Linked DNA regions of Daphnia pulex. The protein of the gene in region 1 interacts with the protein of each later gene in a biochemical or structural test. Links are inferred from orthologs where the notes say so. Each region holds a gene or a part of one and is shown on either strand. Other genes may lie near its edges.

Region 1 (4,252 bases):
CCAACAACCTACAAAAAAATGTCTGGGTTTTTTCTCCTATCGACGTCTATCGAGTTCAAAAATATTTCCAAGAGACCATCATGTCTTTGCTGACGTCTAGTAAAAAGCTTGAAGCGCTCCCGACAGTCTGCCTAACCCACAAAAATAACTCATTTTCAAATGAAAATAGACAACGAGAGATGGTTTTGTTTCGTTGCGATCGGGGAAAAGAAATCCGAAGGGCATCGCAGTGCACAACCAAGGCCGCTAGACGCTGGTAGTAGACACTTAAAAAAAACGTGAACCAACCCTTTGGTCCACGTCATAACGAGACGACGAACCAAACGTCGGATTTTTGGAGGAGGAGTAGCCGGAAGTGAGACAACGATTCCAACAAAAAAAAAACCGTGATGGATCGTCTATTCTGATCCCGTGACAAAGGTCGACAACTTTTTCAAAACGACGTTGCAATGGCCAAAAAAAAGTTTCACGTTACTCGGTTTCGTGTTTCTACATCTCCCTTTTTTCCTTACTACTGGCCAATAAACCTACAATCGATAAACAAAAGCCGGCCAAGTCTCGTTCGTTCCTTTTTTTTAGTTTTAGTTTAGTTTTAGTTTCTTTTTTACCTGAAGTTCGCACCAGGCGACTGAAACTCCCGTTTGCGTGTCAAGTCCTCGATAGACGGTCTTGAAACTACCGCGGCCAATTTCCTCCTCGAATTTGAGGAAACGCTCGTCCGGCGATGTGGCCACCGCCTGTTCTTCGTTGTCTTCGGTGGCGTGTGTCTCGTCACTCTCCTCCTCTTTCTCGTGACCGTTTTCACGATGACCACCGCCTACTACGACAGGCAGCGAGTCCGTTTTGGCAATCGTTTCCAGGCTGTTTTTCTTGCCTTCTTCTTCTACTTCTTCCTTGACGTCCGGCTGGGGCTGCTGCACAGAGTCCAGCTCAGTTGACTTGGGCTGACTGGGGACTGTTTCAGAGTCCTGATCAATTGACTGTTGTTGGCAGAGCGTCTTGGAAATGGACAGGTTGATCAAGTCTGTGGCCAATTTGCTGCTGCTGGTTGTAGCAACAGCAGCAGTTTCCTCTGCTTTGATTGACGGTGGGGAACCAGACTCTGACACACTGTTTTGCCTCTTGATCTTGTTCGTAATGCCTGGTCTGGGTCTGGCTGCCACGTTGTGTGAGGGGATTTTAGAGACTTTGCTGTTGACAGCTTTGACTTGACGATTGAGGGCTTCCACACTTTTGGAAGGACCAGGTTTTCCAGGAGTCGTAGAAGGTGGGGGCCACGACTGCTCCATCCTACCTAGAGGAGTATTGTTAGGTTGGGTGTTGTTGGTAGACCTGGGTGAAACGGAAGCCAGGTGCTCTCTACTGCTGGTCTTACTGGGCGGCCTGGAAGCAGGATTTCTGTTTGGGATGAAGCTGCCACTGCTGCGTGAAGGACTCTGACTGGGACTCCTGCCACCCAACACCAGTTTAGGGCTGGGCTCGTCAAACTGGCAGTGAGTCTGGAAGACTGTTCTGATGGTGTTGTTCATCTGACGACTTTGGTTGCCCAATATCTCCCCGAGCCCCTTCTCAGACTCCTCTCTTGCCTTGGTGGCTATCCTATTGGGCATGATAGCTTTAGTTCTCGGCATGGTGATGGCACTCTTCACAGGCTGCTACCTCCTCACTGTGCACTAAATCAAGAAAAAGGACACACAATGATTGTTAAAGCTTGGTTGTAAATTCGAGGTCGTTCTGCATAGTTTCTTATTACGTTGCTAGTGACGGGGGAAGGAAGTGGGCAGAATTCCACGGAAACGTCAAAACACAAACAAAATGTTTCACTAACGAACGGAAGCACACTCATACCACCGCCTCCGTGGATTACGGCATCCAAACTGTAACTTGAAATGTCTTCAACTGGTCCATTTATATCAGATTGTGTTTTGTGTGTGACGACGGAAAAAATTTATAACACAACTCCGCCTCTTTTTTGATTCTCTCTCAAACTTTCTGTCTTGTCTCTCTCACACACTGCGATTCACGGTGGTGTGATTCTCACAGAGGCAAACAGTCAAGTGCTGCTGTACTCAGAAATGCATGGTACCTTGTCTGCTTTCGCACCAGACGGTCACAGACGAATGGGGGAAGGGGGCTTTAATTTTTCTCAGACATGACTACGCCATCTAGCGGTCGAGAAAAACAACCTTGGATGTCCTTGGGAAGTCTATCGCCCCTGGAAAAGAACAAAAATTCCCAAGAAGAACAAAAATGGCTGCAACACTAATCAGAGATAGTTAAAAAAAAAAAAAACTGGTACAATCTAGACGATAAATAAATCCCGGATCAAGGATCACAGAATAAGCCATTACGAGGGCAAAAAGTTACAACGTATATTTTGTCTGATATTTTTCCCGTCAGTCTCAGGGGTTGTTCACACACACCCACAGCAAACACTTCCGCGAAAAAAGCTTTTGCTTCCCGATTCAGCGCGATATGCGGATTGTACAGAATATCACCTTGAGCCTTTCCTACTCCCAAGGTCTCCCTGTATTTTATTTTTCCCTATGCGCCAAAAAATGTTGACGCTGTTGACTCAAGTGGGGGGGTGTTATTGGCGTACGACCGTTACGTCACGCGTGCAAATAGATGAAAGGCATTGATTGGCGCTACCACCCCCAAGGTCAAAGCGCAAAAAAAAAACAACACCACAACTTCAATTTTCCTACTCTTGTGTTACGTGAGTGCCACTGATAAAAAAGAAAAAACCGTTTGGCCATAAAACAAGGGAATTCGCCGCCATCACGCAAGGTCTTGCGAAAAATTCCACGTAGTCGTTTCTTCCGGTGAATCACCAACGTGTCTGAAAAGGAATTGCAACGTTGAAACTCTATTTCATTTAAGGGAATAATAAACCAGTCCCGGTCCACTTATTTAGGATACTACTACAACACACACTTTGTTTTAAATAGCAACGCCAGCTGATCCGGCGACACACAGTGCCATTCCCGAACGAACTCTACGCCCGTCAGGCGGGCGCCAGAAGTAGACGACGAGCGAGCTTATACCATGTCGTGTCAATAATAACGACCTCTTTTTTTTTCTTCTTCTCTTTTCCAAATCCCGAGGATCAGATGACGAACTATGGCTGTATAGATATAGAACCTTGAGAAACGGGCCAAACCAACAACAGCTGTGTGTGCTTTTCTTTTTCAACTCGCTTTCTTGTTTGAAATTGTTTTAATTCTTTTTAATTGGCGCTGCCGGGATTTTTGCGAATGTTTGCACGCCATGGTTGTTTTTTTTTGTGTTTAGGCAAAAATAATTCTTGGGTCGGGGGATATACACACTCGATTACATCAGTTCCCACTTTGAAGTAGCTCTTAGCCTTGATGGGACACACACACACAAATACCGGAACTCTTGGGACGCTTGTGGCTGGCAAACTTCCTTTTCCAGCTAAATCATCTTCAAGGTTCAGATTAACACAAAACATGCACACAATGAAGGAAGAAGAGGCTAGACGAAAAACGATAGCCATTTGAAACCAAAACAATCAAGAAAAAGAGAAAGCATCATCAAACCATCAGTCTCTTGGTTAACATTGTTGTATCTCCATCGGTTCAAGGTAGTCGAGGAGCCTCGAACATTCAAATCAAATGTAATTTTGTAGCATAGAACTTGGTTAATTGAATCTGTCTCGCTTGTGCCGACGTTTGCTTCCGCTGGATTCATGGGGCCGGTCGTTGTGCAGCTGGCGCCGTATCTCTTCCGGATCCATATCCCAATAGCGGACAGCAGCTCCGCCGGATAAACGAGACGACTGGTCCGGGCTGGTATCGTTGATATTGTTCTCTTCCGTTTCTCGGCTGAAACGAGCTCTGTGTTGTTTTGGAGTGGGGGTTATAAGGGGACATCATGAATCTTGTTGGCGATTGACGTTGAGCATCCGCAAGGAATACCTGGTATTTAGATTTGGCGTTTCAACGGGCGAAGTCGGAGATCGATCGCGCTTCCTTTTCTTCTTTTTGGCGGACTTTGTTCGTTGTTGCGGCTCCTTGCGTGCATTAACTCTGTTGCCAGGGGAACTTTTTTGTTTGAGAGCTTTGCCGCGAGAGGATGAAGAGCTGGCTTCGTTTCGCTCCGACTCTTCTTCCCGTTCCTCATCCGATTCCGATAGCGTTATCACCAGGGGGGAAGACGGACGGATTACTTCCACAATCTCAACGTCCAGGTCGTCGTCCTCATCCTCCTCTGATGGTCTAGTTCCTGA
Region 2 (4,564 bases), on another chromosome or scaffold:
TCCCGTTTATTTTTAAAATAACCAGAAAACTGATATTTTTAGCCTGCCACACACACCCATCAAACGCTGATTGCCGAAGAATTTGAGCCTGACGTGTTTCGGCAACTCATAGAATACATTCACACCGGTTGCGTTACCCTTCAACCTAGAACTTTGCTCGGTATTACGGGAGAATGTGCAATGTGCTGCTTACGATTATGATTATAGCAACCATTGTTGTTGTATTATAGGAGTGATGAATGCGGCTGACTATTACGGACTGGACGAACTGCGTCGATCGTGTGTAGGTTTTGTTCAGTGCTGCATCAATGTCGACACTGTTTGTGCCCTTTTGGCTTCAGCAGAACGCTACATCCAGTACAAATGCACCAAATCTCTAGTTCAAAAGGTTTTATGCGCATATATTTTCAAAATATTCAAAAAAATTTTAATTTTACGTTTTTTCTTTCAGGTTTTAGAATTTGTTGATGAACATGGAAATGAAGGTAAACATTCTATTTAAAATAGCTTCGTTCTTCGTAATGCACAATTAATTTCAAATTTCTCTCTAGTATTGAATTTGGGATCATTTACACTATTGCCGCAACATGTTGTCCGTCTTGTTCTGTGTCGAGATGAACTCAAAGCGGATGAATTCACAAAATTTCAAGTAGTTTCATTAATCACGTCAAAAGTCGAATATCGTATTATTTATATGTTATTAATCCTTTAGGCTGCTTTGATGTGGTCGAAAAAATATTGCGACAGTAATCCCAACATCAGCCTAAAAGAAACGTTGTCCAACTTTTTAGAATTCATCCGATTTCACCAAATTCCAGCTAATGTTTTGATGCGAGAAATCCATCCATTGGGTACGATTTACTTTAAATCCATTTATAAAAATTGTTATAACCTTAGCGTTTCCGGTTATATCTGTAGGATTGGTACCAGATCATTTAATCATGAATGCATTGGCGTACCAAGCCGATCCGACTTGCGTAGACCCAGCTAAATTGTCACCTACTCCGCAACGTGGCGGTAGGAGACGATCTCAAGCCCGTTCCATGTCAGTCCAGTCGTCACTCGATCCGTACGGATCGTCCACCACGCTCAATAGCGAAAGCGCTTCTTCTGAAATTGAGTCCAGTCCTCGCTTAAGTTCCGATGGAAGTCGAGGTTCACCATTGGGGCGTCTCTCTAATTAATTTATTTTTGCTGTTAATACTCTTATGCACTTTGCCCAAAACAGAGTTGTAACTATTAATTTCAACGTATGTATGTATATGTATGTTTGTATTTTTTGGGGTCAAACCATAAGTATACGGTGTATGAATTTGTCGAACGTACAATTAAAACGCATAGGTCGTCCCGTCAATCACGCTGGGCCAATCACTTTAGTATTCTGGTTAAGACAATGGCGACGGTCCGTGAATGAAGATTATGGTGCGGGGCGTCCTCATCTCCATTGAGGTCAATTTTCAATGCCGTTCCAAAAATTGAGTTCTAATTGCGCAGTTATTGAGTGTTATGGGCTTCACATGACCTAAAAATGTCAGCACAATACCGATAAAATTTTTATATGCCAGTCATTAATTCAATTTCGTGAAGAACCTTGTGTAGTGTAGAAGAATAACTATCAGCCAATCATCTGAGCTAGTCAACCTAGTATATTAGTGGATCAAGTGACGGATTCTACAGATCTTTTATGAACAGTACGTTTCATTGGTCTTTGATGAATGGACGTTCTGTGGCGTCGCTCTAGTAGTATAAAATTCGTCTAAATGAAGAGTTATAGAAAAGGGTACGGTAACATTTCATAACGTACATTATGTTAGTCATTTGGGTCTCATCTTCGTGACGCACGTTATCTTGGGTTACAGAAACTTCACGTTGGAAATTCTTCCCAAGTCGCCGTCGATGACGTCCACATCCCTGGAGGTAATTGCCTTAATTGGTGGCCGGAATTCTCTCATGGAGGATTTATTGACGAGCATATGGGGCTGTTTGCTTAGGTTTTCCGTCGTCGAAATTCTGTGCTGGAATACGAACAGCACTTTAATGACCATCTTCCGTCCTTTCAGGTAATGAAACCTTACGCTTCGTTCTCGTTTCACTAGCCCTCGGCGACCACTCGATTGTTTATTCTACAGATCCCACCATATATACACCTTTCCTATCTGTTCCGCATATGAATTTGAAAAGAGGACAGACACGTAGTACAGAAAGTGGCACGAATGACTCCAAAAGTGTTGGTCAGTTCGTCGCGAGCTTGTGAGTCGTTCTAAAGTCCCTTAAACAGCACCACCGGATAACCGATTTCGATAGTGAAAGAGAGATTACTGTGATAATTTAATTATTGCAATACAGGGGGACGAACTGCGTTCACAGCTGGAAAACGATTGTACAAGCTTGATAAAAAAAGGTAAGATATAGCGTGGATTATGGGGTTAATTCGTAAAGTGGGCAGCAAACAGAATTTTGACAGAATCGAAAATCTAGAGTTCTAGAACGCTATATCAAACTCGACTAAAGTTTCACTTAGGTGCTCCACAAGTACATTGTCATTCATCAAAAAATAAACAAAATTGGACATAATAACACATACATTGGATTTTCATGGCGGAAAATAATTCACCAAATTTAACGTCAGTCGGCTGGCCAAATTCCAAGGATGACTACGTCTTGGCCGAAGTTATTGGTGAGAATCTTTACTGTCGTAATTTTGGGGGACCAATGTCACTAATGGTGGACGATTTGCCTTCGAACGTCAGCGTTCTTGTAATACCTATTCAGCTTAAAGAAAACTTACTCGTATCTTTTAATATTTGAAGAATACTAAAATCAAATTTTAAAATGAATGATTAAAAGAAAAAAAATTAGGTTTTTTTTTTCATTTTTTATCTGACACAACCTAAAAAACTAATACCACTCTCAAATGTCAAAACAATGCTGTGACTACTAGGTCATCTCTGTTTGCTAGAATCTAGTTCTTGGCCTACATTTATAATATTAAAAACATTTGTGTAAAGTACCAATGAATTTTCTAGTCGTAGTTTGTATTTTTTGTTAGTCAGTAACTAAAAGTGACATTTCTCGAAATTAGCTAGGTGTGGTCATATCTAAAGTTTGGGCAACTGATAAGATATTACTATTGTGTTCTTAGGTGTGGGAGCCACAGCGGTTGTGCATTCTGCCTTTTGCAAGGCCCGCAATGAGAAATGTGCCATCAAGCGAATCAATCTAGAAAAATGGAATACAAGCATGGAAGAACTCCTAGTAAGTTTCATTTTCTCTTAGTTTATAGCATCACAAAATGAATAATCTCTTATTTTTTTTGTAGAAAGAAATTCAGGCTATGTCTTCCTGCCATCACGAAAATGTTGTTACATATTTTACATCATTTGTTGTTGGTGAAGAACTATGGCTTATCCTCAGGTGAGTTTTTTTTTTTTTTTTTTTAAATTTTATTCTTAGGAGAGAATTCATAACTTTAAATTGGTTTAGACTTCTTTCTGGAGGTTCACTTCTTGATATAATTAAACATCGAATGAAGGCAACTGATTGCCGTCACGGTGTTTTTGATGAAGCAACCATTGCCACAGTACTAAGAGAAGTTCTCAAAGGACTCGAATACTTCCATAATAATGGCCAGATCCATAGGTAATTTTTCTGAATTCACTATGCTGTAGCATTATTACAAATTGCCATTTACAGGGATATTAAAGCTGGAAACATACTGTTAGGGGAGGATGGTACAATTCAAATCGCTGATTTTGGAGTCTCGTCTTGGCTAGCGACAGGTGGAGACTTGAGCCGACAAAAGTCGAGGCATACTTTTGTTGGTACACCTTGCTGGATGGCACCAGAAGTCATGGAGCAAGTAAGCAATAAAATATACATTCATTCGTTTCTCCAAATTCATAGCTACTATTTTAGGTGACTGGTTACGACTTTAAAGCAGACATCTGGTCTTTAGGGATCACCGCCATCGAATTAGCTACGGGCACTGCACCTTATCATCGCTATCCTCCGATGAAGGTAAATTCTTTTACACTGTAAATAGTTGAAAATTGATTAATATTAAATTTTATGTTAGGTTTTATTACTTACTTTGCAAAATGATCCTCCTTGCCTAGAAACTGGTACAGAAGAGCGTGACCAGTACCGAGCTTATGGCAAGAGTTTCAGGAAACTCATAGTCGATTGCCTTCAAAAAGATCCTACTAAACGGTAAGCGTTTTGAAAATGTTTGAATAATTTCCGTAGTGTAATATTGACTTTTGATTCAGGCCAACTGCCACCGAGTTGCTCAAACATCCTTTCTTGAAGAAGGCAAAGGATAGAAGGTACCTGGTACAAACTTTGATTGCCCAAGGTGATTTCACTCAGAAAAATGTTTAAATTTCTATTTTCAACATAATATTTTCTCTTATTATTTATAGCTCCTTCTTTAGAGGCTCGTTCTCAGAAAAGTCGCAGTTACCGAAAGGCCCCTGGAGCATCCGGCAGATTGCACCGAACTGAAGCGGGAGACTGGATATGGTCTTCGGACTCGGAAGATGAAGCGCACTCAAATGATGAATCT

The links.
Region 2: of the proteins of serine/threonine-protein kinase WNK2-like (region 1) and serine/threonine-protein kinase OSR1-like, one has a biochemical effect on the other in vitro, tested with the Drosophila melanogaster proteins (2 studies listed by BioGRID). The link is inferred for Daphnia pulex from reciprocal best matches to the Drosophila melanogaster genes Wnk and fray.

The regions. Positions count from the first base shown.
Region 1 is NC_060019.1:866,985-871,236, forward strand, and holds the start of serine/threonine-protein kinase WNK2-like, read right to left. Parts: upstream 3,037-4,252; 5' UTR 1,754-3,036; exon of another isoform or gene 1,674-1,753; 5' UTR 1,632-1,673; coding exon 609-1,631; intron 1-608. Other genes in the region: E3 ubiquitin-protein ligase Topors-like, read right to left, coding at 3,665-3,860, 3,942-4,252. UniProt on the Drosophila melanogaster protein: Serine/threonine-protein kinase component of the WNK-SPAK/OSR1 kinase cascade, which plays an important role in the regulation of electrolyte homeostasis and regulatory volume increase in response to hyperosmotic stress.
Region 2 is NC_060026.1:7,355,671-7,360,234, forward strand, and holds the start of serine/threonine-protein kinase OSR1-like, read left to right. Parts: upstream 1-1,668; 5' UTR 1,669-1,760; coding exon 1,761-1,780; intron 1,781-1,804; exon of another isoform or gene 1,805-1,859; coding exon 1,860-1,917; exon of another isoform or gene 1,918-1,991; coding exon 1,992-2,060; intron 2,061-2,129; exon of another isoform or gene 2,130-2,346; coding exon 2,347-2,401; intron 2,402-2,511; exon of another isoform or gene 2,512-2,595; coding exon of another isoform or gene 2,596-2,629; coding exon 2,630-2,677; intron 2,678-3,142; coding exon 3,143-3,255; intron 3,256-3,319; coding exon 3,320-3,414; intron 3,415-3,483; coding exon 3,484-3,639; intron 3,640-3,693; coding exon 3,694-3,859; intron 3,860-3,915; coding exon 3,916-4,017; intron 4,018-4,075; coding exon 4,076-4,209; intron 4,210-4,268; coding exon 4,269-4,354; intron 4,355-4,421; coding exon 4,422-4,564. Other genes in the region: serine-enriched protein-like, read left to right, coding at 236-388, 452-485, 552-649, 713-851, 919-1,184.